3 linked regions of the Coturnix japonica genome follow. The protein of the gene in region 1 binds, or shares a complex with, the protein of each later gene. Links are inferred from orthologs where the notes say so. Each region holds a gene or a part of one and is shown on either strand. Other genes may lie near its edges.

Evidence for each region. Proteins that work in one complex are often made in the same cells at the same time.
Region 2: the proteins of PI4KB (region 1) and ACBD3 are in contact, whole or in part, in an NMR structure (PDB 2N73), measured with the Homo sapiens proteins. The link is inferred for Coturnix japonica from reciprocal best matches to the Homo sapiens genes PI4KB and ACBD3. Residues at the interface, in NP_001317650.1 of Homo sapiens: Val37, Gly38, Val42, Ile43, Asp44, Pro45, Val47, Ala48, Gln49, Lys50, Ala51, Cys52, Glu54, Val55, Leu56, Val59, Lys60, His63; in NP_073572.2 of Homo sapiens: Gln245, Ile246, Ala249, Leu250, Gln253, Thr254, Gln257, Phe258, Tyr261, Gln265, Tyr266, Leu276, Leu280, Gln283, His284, Gln287, Tyr288, Gln291, Leu292, Val295.
Region 3: the proteins of PI4KB (region 1) and YWHAZ are in contact, whole or in part, in a crystal structure (PDB 5NAS), measured with the Homo sapiens proteins. The link is inferred for Coturnix japonica from reciprocal best matches to the Homo sapiens genes PI4KB and YWHAZ. Residues at the interface, in NP_001317650.1 of Homo sapiens: Lys290, Arg291, Thr292, Ala293, Ser294, Asn295, Pro296, Lys297; in NP_001129171.1 of Homo sapiens: Asn42, Ser45, Val46, Lys49, Arg56, Phe117, Lys120, Arg127, Tyr128, Gly169, Leu172, Asn173, Val176, Tyr179, Glu180, Leu216, Ile217, Leu220, Asn224, Leu227, Trp228.

Annotation. Positions count from the first base shown.
Region 1 is NC_029540.1:2,286,569-2,290,862, forward strand, and holds part of PI4KB (phosphatidylinositol 4-kinase beta), read right to left. Parts: intron 3,960-4,294; coding exon 3,915-3,959; intron 1,133-3,914; coding exon 905-1,132; intron 779-904; coding exon 551-778; intron 1-550. UniProt on the Homo sapiens protein: Phosphorylates phosphatidylinositol (PI) in the first committed step in the production of the second messenger inositol-1,4,5,-trisphosphate (PIP). May regulate Golgi disintegration/reorganization during mitosis, possibly via its phosphorylation.
Region 2 is NC_029518.1:14,888,947-14,893,782, reverse strand, and holds the start of ACBD3 (Golgi resident protein GCP60), read right to left. Parts: upstream 3,360-4,836; 5' UTR 3,297-3,359; coding exon 3,047-3,296; intron 1-3,046. UniProt on the Homo sapiens protein: Involved in the maintenance of Golgi structure by interacting with giantin, affecting protein transport between the endoplasmic reticulum and Golgi. Involved in hormone-induced steroid biosynthesis in testicular Leydig cells.
Region 3 is NC_029517.1:116,495,923-116,500,722, forward strand, and holds the start of YWHAZ (14-3-3 protein zeta/delta), read right to left. Parts: upstream 3,360-4,800; 5' UTR 3,225-3,359; intron 1,515-3,224; 5' UTR 1,505-1,514; coding exon 1,211-1,504; intron 1-1,210.

The DNA of each region.
Region 1 (4,294 bases):
TGCTGTTACCAACACAGGTCACTGCGTGACCTCAGAACAGCAACCCACAGAGCGCTTTGGGGTGGAAGGGGCCCTTAAAAGCCATCTGGTCCCAACCCCTCACGATGATCAGGGACATGGTCCCTTTAAACCGAACCATTTCTATGGTTCTGAGGCTGATCTCCAGAGACTCTTCCAACCCAACCATCCCGTGGTTCTGTGGATGAGCGTTAAGGTCACAGAACCACATAATGGTTTGGGTTAAAGGGGCCCTAAAAGGACGTTTCATCCAAACCCTCTGTATGAAAGGGGACACCCACAGCTCCATCAGAGCTCACAGCCCACCAGCCTGACCACAGAGGTGTGCAGGGATGGGGCAGCACCACCTCCCAGGGCAATCTGTGCCATTGCCCTCAAGTCCTTTCAGCAGCACTGCACTCCATTCTTCCATCCTCAACCTGCAGCGACAGCAGAGTCTGCAGTGACCCACACCCTGCATTGGCTTTGCTGACCCTCAGAAGGTTCTGCTGGCTGCACTGCGGGGTCTCTCTGTATGGCAGCACAGCCTCACCTCCACCTGCAGCTCCACGATGTCATCCACAGACCAGGCCTCGTCGTCGTTGTCGTAGTTGGGGACGGTGGTGAAGCTGCCTGTCCTCTGCTCAGCTGTGATCCCACACTCGGGGAGGTTCTCAGCCGACCGCGTGCTCCGGATTCGGTTCTCAGGGATCCTCGCTGGGACATTCGCTGTGTCGAAATTGTCACATTCAAGCACTTCCACGTAGATTAAATAGGGAGCCTGGAGGAAGCAAAGTGATGTTATGGGGCTGTTTGAGCGCAGAGCTGCTCTCTGGCCTCATGGGGTGAATGCTGAGCAGAGGGGGATGCTCAGAGAGGACCAAACCTTCTACACCCCAAAGCTCACCTTGTCCTTGGAGTTGAGCACCACCGCCTGCGTGTGAGGCACCCTGACCACGTGGTGGTCGAAGCCGGCCGTGGGCAGCCATGCGCGCGCAGGCAGTTTGTGGTTGAGCAGCGACAGCTCCGAGATGAGCCGCTGTGTTTTCTGCTCTTTGGTGGGCAGCGTGGCCAGGCGCTTCCCGATGGCCATCAGGGATTTGATGAACTCCCGCTCGGGTGCCAGCCTGACGGGCTGCAGGGGAAAGGAGGGCACAGAGTGAGGAGGGCTGCGGGTTGGGCATGCTGCTCATTTAGCTCCAGAGGGAACACTGCTCTCCCCATCCCACCCTGCGCTCCGATATGGGATGATCCAACGCCTCTCCCTCCCATCACAGACCCAGAGATCCCCTCCTGGAGCCCCATCAATCCCCACATCCACCCCACAGCTCCGGGATCCCACACAGCACAGCTCTGAGCCCCCTCTGTATCCCAATCATCAGGCACAGATCGAAGTGCAGCTTTGTGGCCCTCATAACCCGCAGGTGAAGGGCAGCCTTCGAAAGACAAAGTTCCCAATCAATCAGCACAAGGAGTGATTAATGGCTGATTTTTCGCCACGAGAAATGCAGGACTGAACTCACACACAACGTGCTCACTGCACAACCATGCAGGAAATGCACATGCAACAAGCAGCGGTGCATGAGAGAAGGCAGCAAAACAAAAACTGGCCAAGAGCAAAGGAAAGAAATGGTGGAAGAGGAGCAGCACTGCTCATTCCCTTTGGGAGGGGGCAATGGGAATGCAGTGTAGTCCTCATCTAAACCCCCCCCAGCCAGGGCTCAGCCCCACTGCTGCCCAAGGCACTTCTGCAGCCTTTGGGGCCATTCTGCTCTGTTGGATCCCATTTCTTCCCAGAGCAGAATGATGTCCTGGAGATGTTCTGCTCCTTCCAGCACCGCTTCCCTTTCTCTCCCACCGCTCTGCTATGGAATGTCTACAATCCAGGCTGCACAGCTGTGGGACTGGATGTGTGCCCACCCCGTGGGTCACTGTGGAGGCTACTTGGGACCAGGCAGCACTCCCAGCTGCCATTGTGCAAAGTCCAACCCAGTCCAGGCTGGGATCAATCCATGCAGCTCCAGCAGAGGCCCATCTTCCCCATCACTTTCAGCCCTGCTCCCCCCAGACCCCACAGCTCCTTCCCCTGATGCCAGCAGCACTGCACTGCTCCTCAACCCATCCTCTGCCATTCATGTTCTGGATGGAAACATTCAGCTCTCAGCTCCTCTGACCACAAACACGTGGCCAAGGACAGCCCTCCCCAGCCCATCTGCTCCAAGCACATCCCCCAGCTCAGCACTGCTTGGCATTATTGGGATTGAGATGAGGTTCTTCCCTCAGTCCTCCAAATCCAGGTGCCAACCCGAGATGTTGTATTCTGTGAGCCCACCCCCCCTTTGAGCCAACAAGGTGTGGGTCCCCCATCCTTCCCCATTGGTAAATTTGGGATAAATGCTTGCAAAGAGCCCAGGTGGCTGCACTTCTGCTTCAGATAAAGGAGCAGGGCTTGCACAGCCTGGAAGGAAAGCTCTCCTGGCTGAGGGTGCTCCTGCTATTGGCTATGGCTGCCTGGGGCTGCAGGGCTGGCACCATCCTGAGCCCTGAAAAGCAAAGGGAGGGCAGATACAGCAGCATCAGCCAACCCCCCACTTCCCTCCCAGCCTCTAGCGTGGACTCCTCACCTCCTGCTGTGCCTCCAAACACCGAGATGGAGGAGATCCCATAGGATCACTGAGGTTGGAAAAGACCACTAAGATCATCATGGCCAACCATCAGCCTACCCCCACCACTGTGCCCACTTATAGGGTCACTGAGGTTGGAAAAGATCCCTCAGGTCACCACATCCAACCCCAACCCATCCTCCCCATGCCCACTATCCACGTCCCTAAAAAGGACCACGCAGTCTTTAGGGTTGGAAAAGACCTCTGAGATCACCCAGTGCCACCCCATCCATCCCGCTCTGCCCAATTGCAGCACCACTGAAGTTGGAAAAGATCATTCCAGATCCCAACTCATCTCCCCAGCCCCCCTCACCATGTCCCCAAGTGCTACATCTCTGCCATTCTGCATTAGTGACCCCACCGCCTTCCCCTTCCAATGTACCAAGAAATACTTCCTAATATCCAACCTGAAAACAAAACCCCAAAGAGGAGAGCCCACATCTGAGCAGGGTTGGTGGGGGTGGCACAGCACTGTGCCATGGGTGCACTGCTGCAGGTTTGTTTCCTGCTCTCAGCAAAGGATTCTTGAGCTCCAGAGGAATATGAGGAGGGGATGGGTGCCCATGTGAGGTGCTGGGGATACCCCAGTCCCATCCTCCCCCTCCAGTTCCTACCCTGAGGGCTGTGGATGTATGAGGCATCACTTGCTGCTGCCCAGGGCAATGGGTTTGAGCATGGACTACATATTGGGATCCCACTGTAAATCCCAACCAGGGAACACGGAGAGGAGGAAGAGGAGGATGGAACAAATGAGAAAGATGCGATTGGCTCCAAACTGAAAGAAGGCTCACAGCAAAAGGAGGCTCTGCTGGGGGGTGCTGGGTTGGATTGACAGCCCAAAGTGCAACGCAAGGAGGGGGGGAAATGATCCGTGGAAGAAGCAAATGAAACCCCAGCTAGCAGAGGATTTTTGTTTCAAATAAGGACAAATTCAAGGAAAACAGCATTTCCTCTTTTGTCTGCAAACACTGTGACACAAAGGGCAGCGCGTGGCAGGGCAGGACTCACAGCTCAGTGGGAGGGGAAGCCCCCTCCATCGTGCCCACTTTGGTTTGGTGATGAGCAGCCAGGTCCAACCCCCAGCTGTGGGTTTGTTTGATCCCCAAATGGGGCAGAAAGCCTTTGGTGTGATGTCGGGGTCAGCAGTTACGTGGGGGTCGGTGCTGTGCGGCCGCAGTGGGGTTTGGAGGTGGGGGAGGCAGAGGAAATGCTGCTGTAGGACGGAGGGCCCAGGAGCAGAACAAAACCACTTACGGAACAGAATGAGTTATCAAGGCTTTCCGTGCTCGAGGAGAGCTCCTGGGAAATGGATGGAAGGGGTTTTGGTGGCCATTTTTGGGTGGTGGCAGCGCGGTCAGAGAGAGGAAGGAGGGGGGGGGAGGAGGAGAAAAAGCAGTAGTTTAGCTCCAGGTTCATCGCCATCACTTTGCATTTCTTGTTTCACTTTGCCCCCCATTGCAACACTGCTGCCTTCCATGCCGGGCTCCAAACCCAAGGGCTGGCATCCATAAAAACCAACACAAACCAACACGGTTTCCCCTTCCTTGTCCTTTCAAGCTCTCTTCCACCCTCTGCTCCCCCCACTCTGCCCCACTGCAGAGCCCCACATCCATTGATTTCATCCAAAAAGAGGT
Region 2 (4,836 bases), on another chromosome or scaffold:
CAGGAAGCTGAAGAATATCAGTTTCAAGTAACACACTGAGAAATCCTGACGACATGCAGAAGTACAGTACAGCAACTTCACAACCTTCTGTATGCCACTGGTATTCCTCCTGCTGCAAGGCCAGAGAAAGGCCCAGCTGTCTTACAGACAATTCATAGTCCTTATTGACCATATCTCAAACCATCACCCATAGAAAATGCAGTGCTCATCACCTGAACATCACACTAGCGGCAGACAAGACTACGTAGTAATTAAGGTATGCTTGCATGAACAAGGCTTTAGGCCTGCTGCAGTAACAGCCCATATGTACTTCACTTATGACATGAAGCAGCCTACCCAAAACACTGCAAGAAGGACCAGCTCCCACTTACTGCCAGCTCAGGCCTCAGAGATGCATGCCATGAAGACACAGCACTGTCCCTATACTGCCAGGCCTGGCAGGAAGGTCCCTGCACACCTACCATCAGCTATTGAGGCCAGAGCCCTCCTGACAGCGACTCTTTGTCCAGATGCCCACCCAACAGAGATTCCTCAGCAGGGACCCCGCATACAAACACAAAAAGATGAAGCCAGTCCAACAGCAAGTAATGAAAAGCAGATAATGCAAATGGATGTCACTGTGTGGCAATGCACTACCAGCATCACCACTGTTACACCTCTGTAACACAGAAAAAGTACATCTCAAGTCAGATATACTGCACAACTTGCTGCATCTTCTGCTCCCGCTCACCTACTGCACTCCCTCTCAATGTCCAGTTCCCATGGGATGGCTTTCAGCCCCAGCTGTCTACAAGAAGCCAGAAAACAGCTTCAACTGCGACTTGTTGCCTCACAGCTTTTAAAAGCAGGTATCACGTATATTAATGCAGCTCATTTGCAGAGCTTTGATGGGTGACACCAAGACTGAGAAACATGAGAGGCGAATCCCTGCCTGCAGAGCCCAGTGAGTGCTCTCCTATACTCAGCATCAACAGAAGGATAATCAACCTGCCCTTCCTGTCAGATCTGATACAGATACATTATAGGGTTTTCCCATCTTCTTTAAAGCAAGCATCTATGTAACTAATGAGCTACAAACATGCCATCAAATGAGAACACAAACAACAAGGTCAAACAATTCACTGTGGACGATACACTGCTGAGGCTGAAGTTGCATTCTTGTCAGGATAAGAGGAAACAACTTGGAGCAGTCAAACAACATTTGAATACTTAAGATAGCAGGAGAGCCTTCAGATAACAGAACGATACAGTTTATAACATGCTGCCCATCCAGACATAAGGCTCCGCAAACCACTGCAGGCAGCGCATGAACACTGCAGGGAGTGCGATGGTATTTCAAACATATAATATGGAAAACTGTACAGCTAGGTGACACTGGAACAGACTTGCTGACACTAAGCACGCTGCCCCCCCCCAAGTGCAGGATACAGCCTACACCTCCACTGAGCCATCTCCACCGACTGAGCTTTGTACCAGTTCCACAGGCAAAATTAGCTGTCAAAAGCGCTTCTGTCAGCTGCCTCTGTCTTTCTCAGAGCTGGAATAAAGCAGCTTTGAAGGCTCTTCAATACAGCAGCTCAGCTTCCGTGGTGTTTTTCACATTGTGTTTACACGCATTCCCACCTTGTCCTGTCACTGAGCAGTTTTGCAAGGTACCACCTCAGACAAGCATCAGCAGTCAGTGTAACATGCCTCAGGTATTTTGTTCCAAATCAGCTTTCCAGGAAGCGCATGCATTATGAATGCATTATGAGCAGAGCTCAGTTTACACACTGATACAGAACAGCAGCTGCTTAACTGGTGATCACCCGCTTACCCTTCAGCATCCAGTGACTTCTTTAGCCTCCCTGCCCCAGCTCCCACAGCAGCACTTTAAGCAAATACCAAAGGTGCCACTCTTAGATAATAGCTTATGTTTTCTGCTCGCTTCATGGAAGCAGCATAAGCAGTTAACATCATATATAGAAGCTCTGGCATCAGCCAGCATTAAGATCAAGTCTGCCAAACAACACCCCACCTCTGGACCAGCACAGTCTTAAGAATAACAATGAGAAGTGAGGCCTCAGCACTGATCTATGCTGACAAGTACCAGCCTTCACATCCCCCAGATGTTACTCCTTTAAGTAAAGCAGGGAGATGTGTGTGTCTCTCAGCATCCACACAGCTGCCCACGTCCATGGTTGTTGTCACAGTGGATAAACTGAAACAACTTGGAAACAAGAGCACTTATTTTCAGAGCCATGCAGGTGTAGAATGAACTGAGCCTTCAATAAGAAGGCAGCAACAAGAAAGAGACACCTGAGACACAGCAGATACACCGCAATATCTGTAACCTGGATGCAAGTAGCACCTCAATGACCCCTCACCCTTCAAAAGGAGATGAATGTAAGGTGTAATTACCACAGGATGAGAAGCACTGGCAGCACACTACATGCTATGACTGAGTTGTTTCACTTTTACACCACTACTCGTTTTGGTCGAACATCAAACTGAAGACACCATGAGATAACACTCGACTGAGATAAGGAATTTCCCGCTGCAGAGATATTCCTTCCCACAGTGTGATTTACAAACAAATACTCAGTAGGAAACAAACTCCCTCGAGCTCCATGTTTTACAGAGCAGCACGTTGGGAGCTGCAGTGCCTCCAGCCCAACACGTGGCTGCGGCAACTTCTGGCACAGAAAACCCAGCCCTTCCTGGTTCACAGAACAGCACAGGTTAAAAAACAAGCACAAAATCAAACGCAGAGACACCAGCAGCAGCAGCAGCCCCATCTCGGCCCGCAGGATCGGAGCGCTGTGCTGCACCTGGCGGGGAGCCGCGCTGTGACACCCGGCTGTGCCCACACAGCCCAGCCCGCTCCTTCCCACAGACACGGCGGTGCGAGGCGCAGCCCCGACGGCACTTAAAGCCAACGTGCCCTCCCCGCGTTCCCACGGCTGTTCCCTCAGCATCCAAAAGCGAGGATGCTTTATTAATTTATTTCCTCCCGCTTTCAGGCCGGTGCTGCGCACCCCCCGCCCCAGCTCCCCGGTGCAGTTACCCTTGAAGAAGCGCAGTGCCAGCCCGTACAGCTCCTCCAGCGCGAAGCCCCAGCTCCGCTCCGGGCTCAGCGCCGCCTCCTCCCCGCCGGCCTCCACCTGGCTCTGGCAGCCGGGCCCCGCTCGGTTCCGCCCCGCGGCCGAATCCCCGTGTCCGGGCCGCGCTTCGCAGGGCGGCGCCTCAGCGTTGGGGCTCAGGGTCAGCCCGTCCACAGACACCTCCAGCCGCTCCGCGCTCAGAGCCACCGCCATCCTCCGGCTCCGCTGCGGCGGCCACGTCCCGACTTCCCGTTCCCTCCGACCCGGAACATCCGGCCCCGTCCCGCCTGGTACCGCCCCCATAGCAGGCCGCTCTCAGCTCCGCCCCCTCTATGGGCTCCCCTCGTTTCTGTTCGTTCAGGTTTCGGCTGAGGATCACAAATAGAGGACTACAGAACAACGGAGCATCGCCTCCTTCAGTCAGTTTTACTTCCCAGGGCACGCAGCTCTGGCTGTGTGGCACCATCTCATGCACCGAGCTAACGGCAGCACAGATAACGCTATCTCGTTCATGCCTGCACCCTGCTTTGCAAGCATCAGATCCGGCTTCGCATCAAGACTTGTTAGTTCATCTGCAAGATGACCTTCAGTCTGCTGTCAGTTTTCATCTGGCACGTTTCCTGCTTAGTTTGCAGAGGCCACCCTTACATACATACATACATACATATATATTTGCATTAATTTTGTGGTTTAACACATAGTAAGCTTAACATTCATCTTTCCACTTCAAGAAATGTTGAGTTCTTTATCCCAAAATACATCCTTAAAGAAACTGACATTCTTACTGGTCCCTGTGGGGTTTGCTGTGTTTCTGTAAGATGGAAGGGAATAGTTCCATTTTATACACCAGCAAACCCAGAGGCGTTTCTGCTTCATGGCAGAAGCTGCCTGCAGTCAGGCAGCCCTTAGTTTCCCCACATGTCTGGAGGCCAAGCTGAATCCAAGCTGCTCCGCGAGTTTGACAAGCTGATGTGGAGAAGGATGGCAGAAAACTGATTGATCTCATAGCAGGGTCTCTCTTGTACCAAATATTTGATGCTTCTAGTAAACATGTGACTATTTGTCTCTTCTTGTGCCAGCCCTGCTATGTCCTACAACAGACATGCCAGCAGAGCGGGTTTCTCCACTGTATGCAGTGTAGTCTGCTGGAGAGGTCCCAGCTGGAGAGCAAGACATCTGTCAGTGTAGCATCCAACTGAGCATGGCTATGGCCGGCATGCTCTGCTGCAGCTCTGCAGCCTGGTGTGTGGCTGTTCAGAGCCACCAGGCAGCACAGATTTACCCTCAGCGTCTCTCTGCACAGCTGTCTGGTGAGCGTCGGATGGACCCACTACATCCACTCTGCTCTGCTCCATGTGCTTTGGGGCCCTGTTTATAAAGACAGATACAGTGTCGGTACAAAATACAAAAAAAAAAATTGCAGGTTCAGATTTTGAGTCTGGAAATTCATGTCTGGACCACATTCAAGCCCCAGAGAGGCAGTTTAGTCCAGCAACAGTGGCCTCCGCTAGGAAACGCAGTCATAGAAGCTTTATGTAGAAGAAATCAATTATTTAATTCAAGCTGGTGAATGTTTAGCAGTGAAAAATACCAGCCATCTGCAAGCGCACAGTGAACCATTAACAAGTTATGGAGCACCATAATGACTTAAACAAACCATTCTGCTCTTCCTGGTATCCTTCCTCCCACAGTAGGTGAAATGTGTGCTCCCAGCCGCCAGGGCTGTGCCTTCAGGTTCCCCCTGGTGTAGGGC
Region 3 (4,800 bases), on another chromosome or scaffold:
ACATCAGGTCTTCAAGCACGTGCTCAGCTACTTAAGACTCCCCCCCTATCACACACCATGGTCACGTCCATGTATATGACCTGGATGCACAGGACACACCAGTAGGGTCCGTGTCCAGCTGACAGCACCAGGTACCTCCCAGCTGGTGGCAGGACAGGACACCCTCTGCTCGTGTGCTCACTGTGGCACTATTGGTACTGGCAATAGGAAAAACTGACAATGTAGAACAAGCATCTGGAAGAGATTCAGATTTTATGACACCATTTCCCACTGCAAAGAAAAACATGTATCTACCAACAGTGTACATAGACTTTAACATATCTACAAGTCACAGCAAATCTTAGCTTGGAACTCTCCTTTTTTGTTTACTTCTGAAAGCCTAAAGTTTAAGAGGCTAGCGTAGCATTGCTACTGCCTCTTCCTGCAGGCAGCTTTCTGCATGGCTGAGTCATAACTAACATTACATCATCTTAAACAGGGAGGGGCACAATTTCCGTAGAGTAAGAACTACCTCTTACAACCAGTGCAGCATTTTAAAGTCACAGAAATCAGTGTGATCTGGGACACAATTACCATGTAGGGGAGGACTGGAAAACCCCAAACCAAACCTTCCCCTCTTCAGTCTCAAATAAATACTGCATATAAAGGAATAGTTATGAAAAGTTAACACAAGGTTTAAACATGTCTCCAAATATACTGGTGCTTGTAATTATACTCCCATATAAAAGAATTGATACGTTAGAGGGAAAGAAAAGGGAGGTTGTAGTGAGCTGGGGGTTGGCCTCTTGTGTAATTAGTGATAGAACTAGAGGGAATGGTTTTAAGCTGCGCCAGGGGAGATTCAGGCTGGACATTAGGAAATATTACTTCTCAGAAAGGGTAGTCAGGCATTGGAATGCACTGCACATGGAGGTGGTGGAGTCACCGACCATGGGAGTGTTCAAGAAACGTTTGGATGTTGTGTTGATGAATATGATTTAGCTGGGAAGTATTGGTAATGGTTGGACTAGATGATCTTCTAGGTCTTTTCCAACCTTGCTAATTCTGTGATTCCGTGAAAAGTTAGACAGTTTTCTAGTCTTGTCCTTCAGAAATACTGTAGGACACTGTCTTTAATTAAAGGTCAGATAGAGGCATCCCTAACGAGACCCGGCACCATTCACCCTGCAACCCTAAGGTAAAACACAACAACAGTTTTGTTATTTCTCACCAGCACATCATTGCAGATGTCTCTTAGCTCAGTCTCAATTTTCTCTCTGTATTCTCGAGCCATCTGCTGTTTTTTCTCAGCGCCTTCCGTCTTTTGTTCGATACTTGAGACGACTCTCCAAGATGACCTACGGGCTCCTACAACATTTTTATAGGCAACAGAGAGGAGATTCCTCTCTTCATTGGACAGCTCGGCTCCTTGCTCGGTCACGGACTTCATGCAACTCGCCATGTCATCATATCTTTCAGCCTGCTCAGCCAGTTTGGCCTTTTGCACTAGCTCATTTTTATCCATGCTGAGATTTCTGAAGAGGAAAAAATAGCGAGGCGTTATTAAGACAACGGTTAAGGACAAAGATGTTTCAACCTCACACGCAGAACAGCCATCCTTTAAGTAGCCTGGAATTAAGAAGTACAGCTGAAATCTGGAATGCAAGGCACACAAACACTCAAACATAAAGTCCTTTTTTTTCTTTTTTTAAGAGAGAAGCAAAGTTAAATGGTTTAAGTTATTTCTGAAACGCAAATAAAAGCATCCAAAGAAACCAGAAGCAAATAATTCCCATCTTAAGTGCACACGTGATCCCAGTTCCTTGCCATCACTTTCTCTTTAGAGCACATTCAAGCTTCGGTGTCAACTGCACCTAATTATGAATGCAACTAAATTGATAAAGAAAATAGCCAACTGTATTTTTGCCAGAGGAACTGACAAAAAAAAGGCCAGGCAAACAGTATCATACAACTCCGTGCCTTAAAAGAACCTTACTGCTCCATCCAGAAAGGACTGGAAGAGGGATGTGCCAATCAAACCCCACATCCGATGCTCTAGAGCCAGAACAGAGCAGAGCCCTAAGCTGGAAGGACCGCACCTCCCATGGTGGGAACCTCCCTTCTCCAGTCAGGCTACGCTGGCCTTCTGACCCAGATACAGCTCCTGGGCCTGAGGGGTTATATTCCAGAGACAAAGAGATTTTTACAATTGGGAAGAAATATGACGTCGATGTCAGTATTTCACTAGCACAAGCTGGTTGGGATGCTTCATAACCTGGATCCAGTCAAGGCTTGGGCTCCTGATAGAGACCCTTGTGCCTATTGGGGGGGAAGGGAGAACAACCCTTCCTCCCCCCACCTTTTTATGTACCTGGCACGGTCCTCTGGTGTTTGGTGACCTATCATCCTTCAAAGCTCGTTTAACCAAAACCCGCTTTGGTCAGGATGCTTTATTCATTCCCACGCGTTCCACACACAAAACCCCGCACCTTACCCTGCAACCTATTGTCATTTTACACCAAGAAACCACGAGTTTCTTGGTGTAAACCTCCCACAGACGACAAAACCCGAGCGCGTTTCAGCCGTCCGGTCCCCCGGCCCTTTGAGCAGCCCGAGGCTGGAGGCCGCAGCACGTCGATCCGCCCCGCTCTCAGGAGCCATTTTAAGGAGCTCCGAGGCCCGCACTGCCCGCACCGAGCGCCAAGACCGCGGTTGGGCCGCGCTCCGCCGTAAGATGGAGCCGCGGGCGGCGGGCAGGGCAGCACGGCTCAGCACAGCGCAGCACAGAGCAGCGCCCGGCCCCCGCCTCGGGGCGGCTCCGCCCCATCCGCGCCCGCCGCATCCGCCCTCCGCCGAGCCACACAGCGCCGCGCCCGCGCCTTTGTCATGGCGGCCGGGAGCCGCAGCCCTGCCCACCGCCGTGCGCCCTAATCCCGATCACCTCCGCACGGCAACGGGGGCGGCGGAGCGGCAGGAGGAGGAGGAGGAGGAGGATGCCGCCTGCCCGGCCCGAGGCGGCGGAAGGAGGGAGGAAGGGGGGGGAGCCGTGAGCCGTATCCCCCCGCTCCGCGCTGAGGGCCCCGCGCTGAGGCTCCCCGCCCCGCCGAGCCGTGTTCCCCCCGCCGCCCTCCCCGCCAGCCCCCCCCGCCCCGCTCGCTGCCCGCTCTACAGGAGGGGCCGGGGCCGTTGGCTGCCCGCCTGCCGCCCGCTGGAGCCGGCGGTCGGTCGGTGTGGGGCCCCGTTACCTGCTCGGTGCGGCTCGAGGCGCGGTGTGTCGGGGCTCGCGGCGCTGTGTGTGTGTGTGTGTCGCGGCTCGCGGCGCTGCAGCCTCTTTCCCAGCGCCACACACGGCGGCTCCGCCAATCACCGCGCCGCTCCCGCGCGGACAGCGCAGCGCCCGTGACGTCAAGCGGCGCCATGGCAACGGAGAGGGCAAGAGCGCGAGCACGCGCCTCCCCCGGCGCAGGCCGAGACCGGGCCCCGCCCGCGGGAGCGCGCGTCCCCCTTATCCCCGCCGGCCCCCGGCGCTCCCCGCTCTGTGTGTGTGTGCCGCCTTTGTGTCTCACACCCGGGCCGAGGAGTCACAGCGGCCCCGCCGGGCTCGAGAGCAAACCCCGCCGGGATGGGGTGCGGGACGAGGGCCCCGGGGCCTGCGAGGGGGAGGAGGAGGAAGAAAAGGAGGAGGAAAGGGGGGGGTGTTGGAATGCTGAACGCTGCCCGTGTTGGAAAGGCTGGTTTATTTTATATCGAGGTGCTGGATGGCCGCATTCACCTCAGCCCGCACCGCCTTCCTTCCCTCGAGCGTGTGGGGCGGGGAGCTGCCCCGTGTGCTGCCTCACACAGTGCAGGGCTCGGGGAGGTTCCCCCTTAGAGACCCGCACCGAAGATATCACGGAGCAGAACCATCCTCGCTGGAAGAGGGAGATTCCTCCCTCCAGGCGTTCATATTGATGGAGATTCCAGCCGCAGCTCCACCCTGCTCCTTCTCGGTGCAAGATGTGACACAGCCTTACCCGGCTGTCACGTGGCACATTGCCGCATCTCAGCTGTGGGGATGGGAAGCAGCAGCTCTGCCCGCTGCCCTGCCCGCTCACTGACCACGAGAACGAATGGTGCGGGACACACGGTGTGTGTGTAGGCAGAGCCTCCACATCTCTTGCTAGGCAGCGTGTGGGATTAGCATAGGAGGAGCGAGGTGATTCTCGGAAAGCAAGAGGAAGTTGTGAGCACGCTTGTGGGCTCGACGAGTAGCTGGACAGGGCTGGGCTGGAGCACTGCTAGAGCACAGTGTGAATAGGAGCACAACTTCTGGGCAACCTGATCTAGTAAAGGTGTATGTTTGGTGGCCCTGCCAGGCAGGGGGGTTGGAACTACATGATCCTTGAGGTCCCTTCCAACCCGGGTCATTCTGTGATCCATTCTGAGATTCTGTTATCTCCTATGCTGATTTAACACTGAAGTATTTCCCCCCCCCTTTCTCAACCATTCTGGTGCCTTCCATCTCCTCCAGCGTTTAAAGAATTTCACCCACTTTCACATAGAAAGGTGCTGGGATGTTTGAGGAAGGAGCTGAAAAAAGCAGTGTTCAGATGGTCTGGGCTCACCAGACTTGGCTGGGACAATCTAACACTGACAATCTAAACATGAAGGAGAATATAACCTTCATTTTTATTTCCCCGGGGATGCTTTGTTGCAGTATGCGGATACAGAGTTTGTTTCTGTAACAAGCATGGTAAGGCTCAGCTTCATCTTGTATTCCAACACACGGTGCTTCTCCATCATATCTGTGTTTATTTTTTATCATTACTGCTTTAGGAAGCA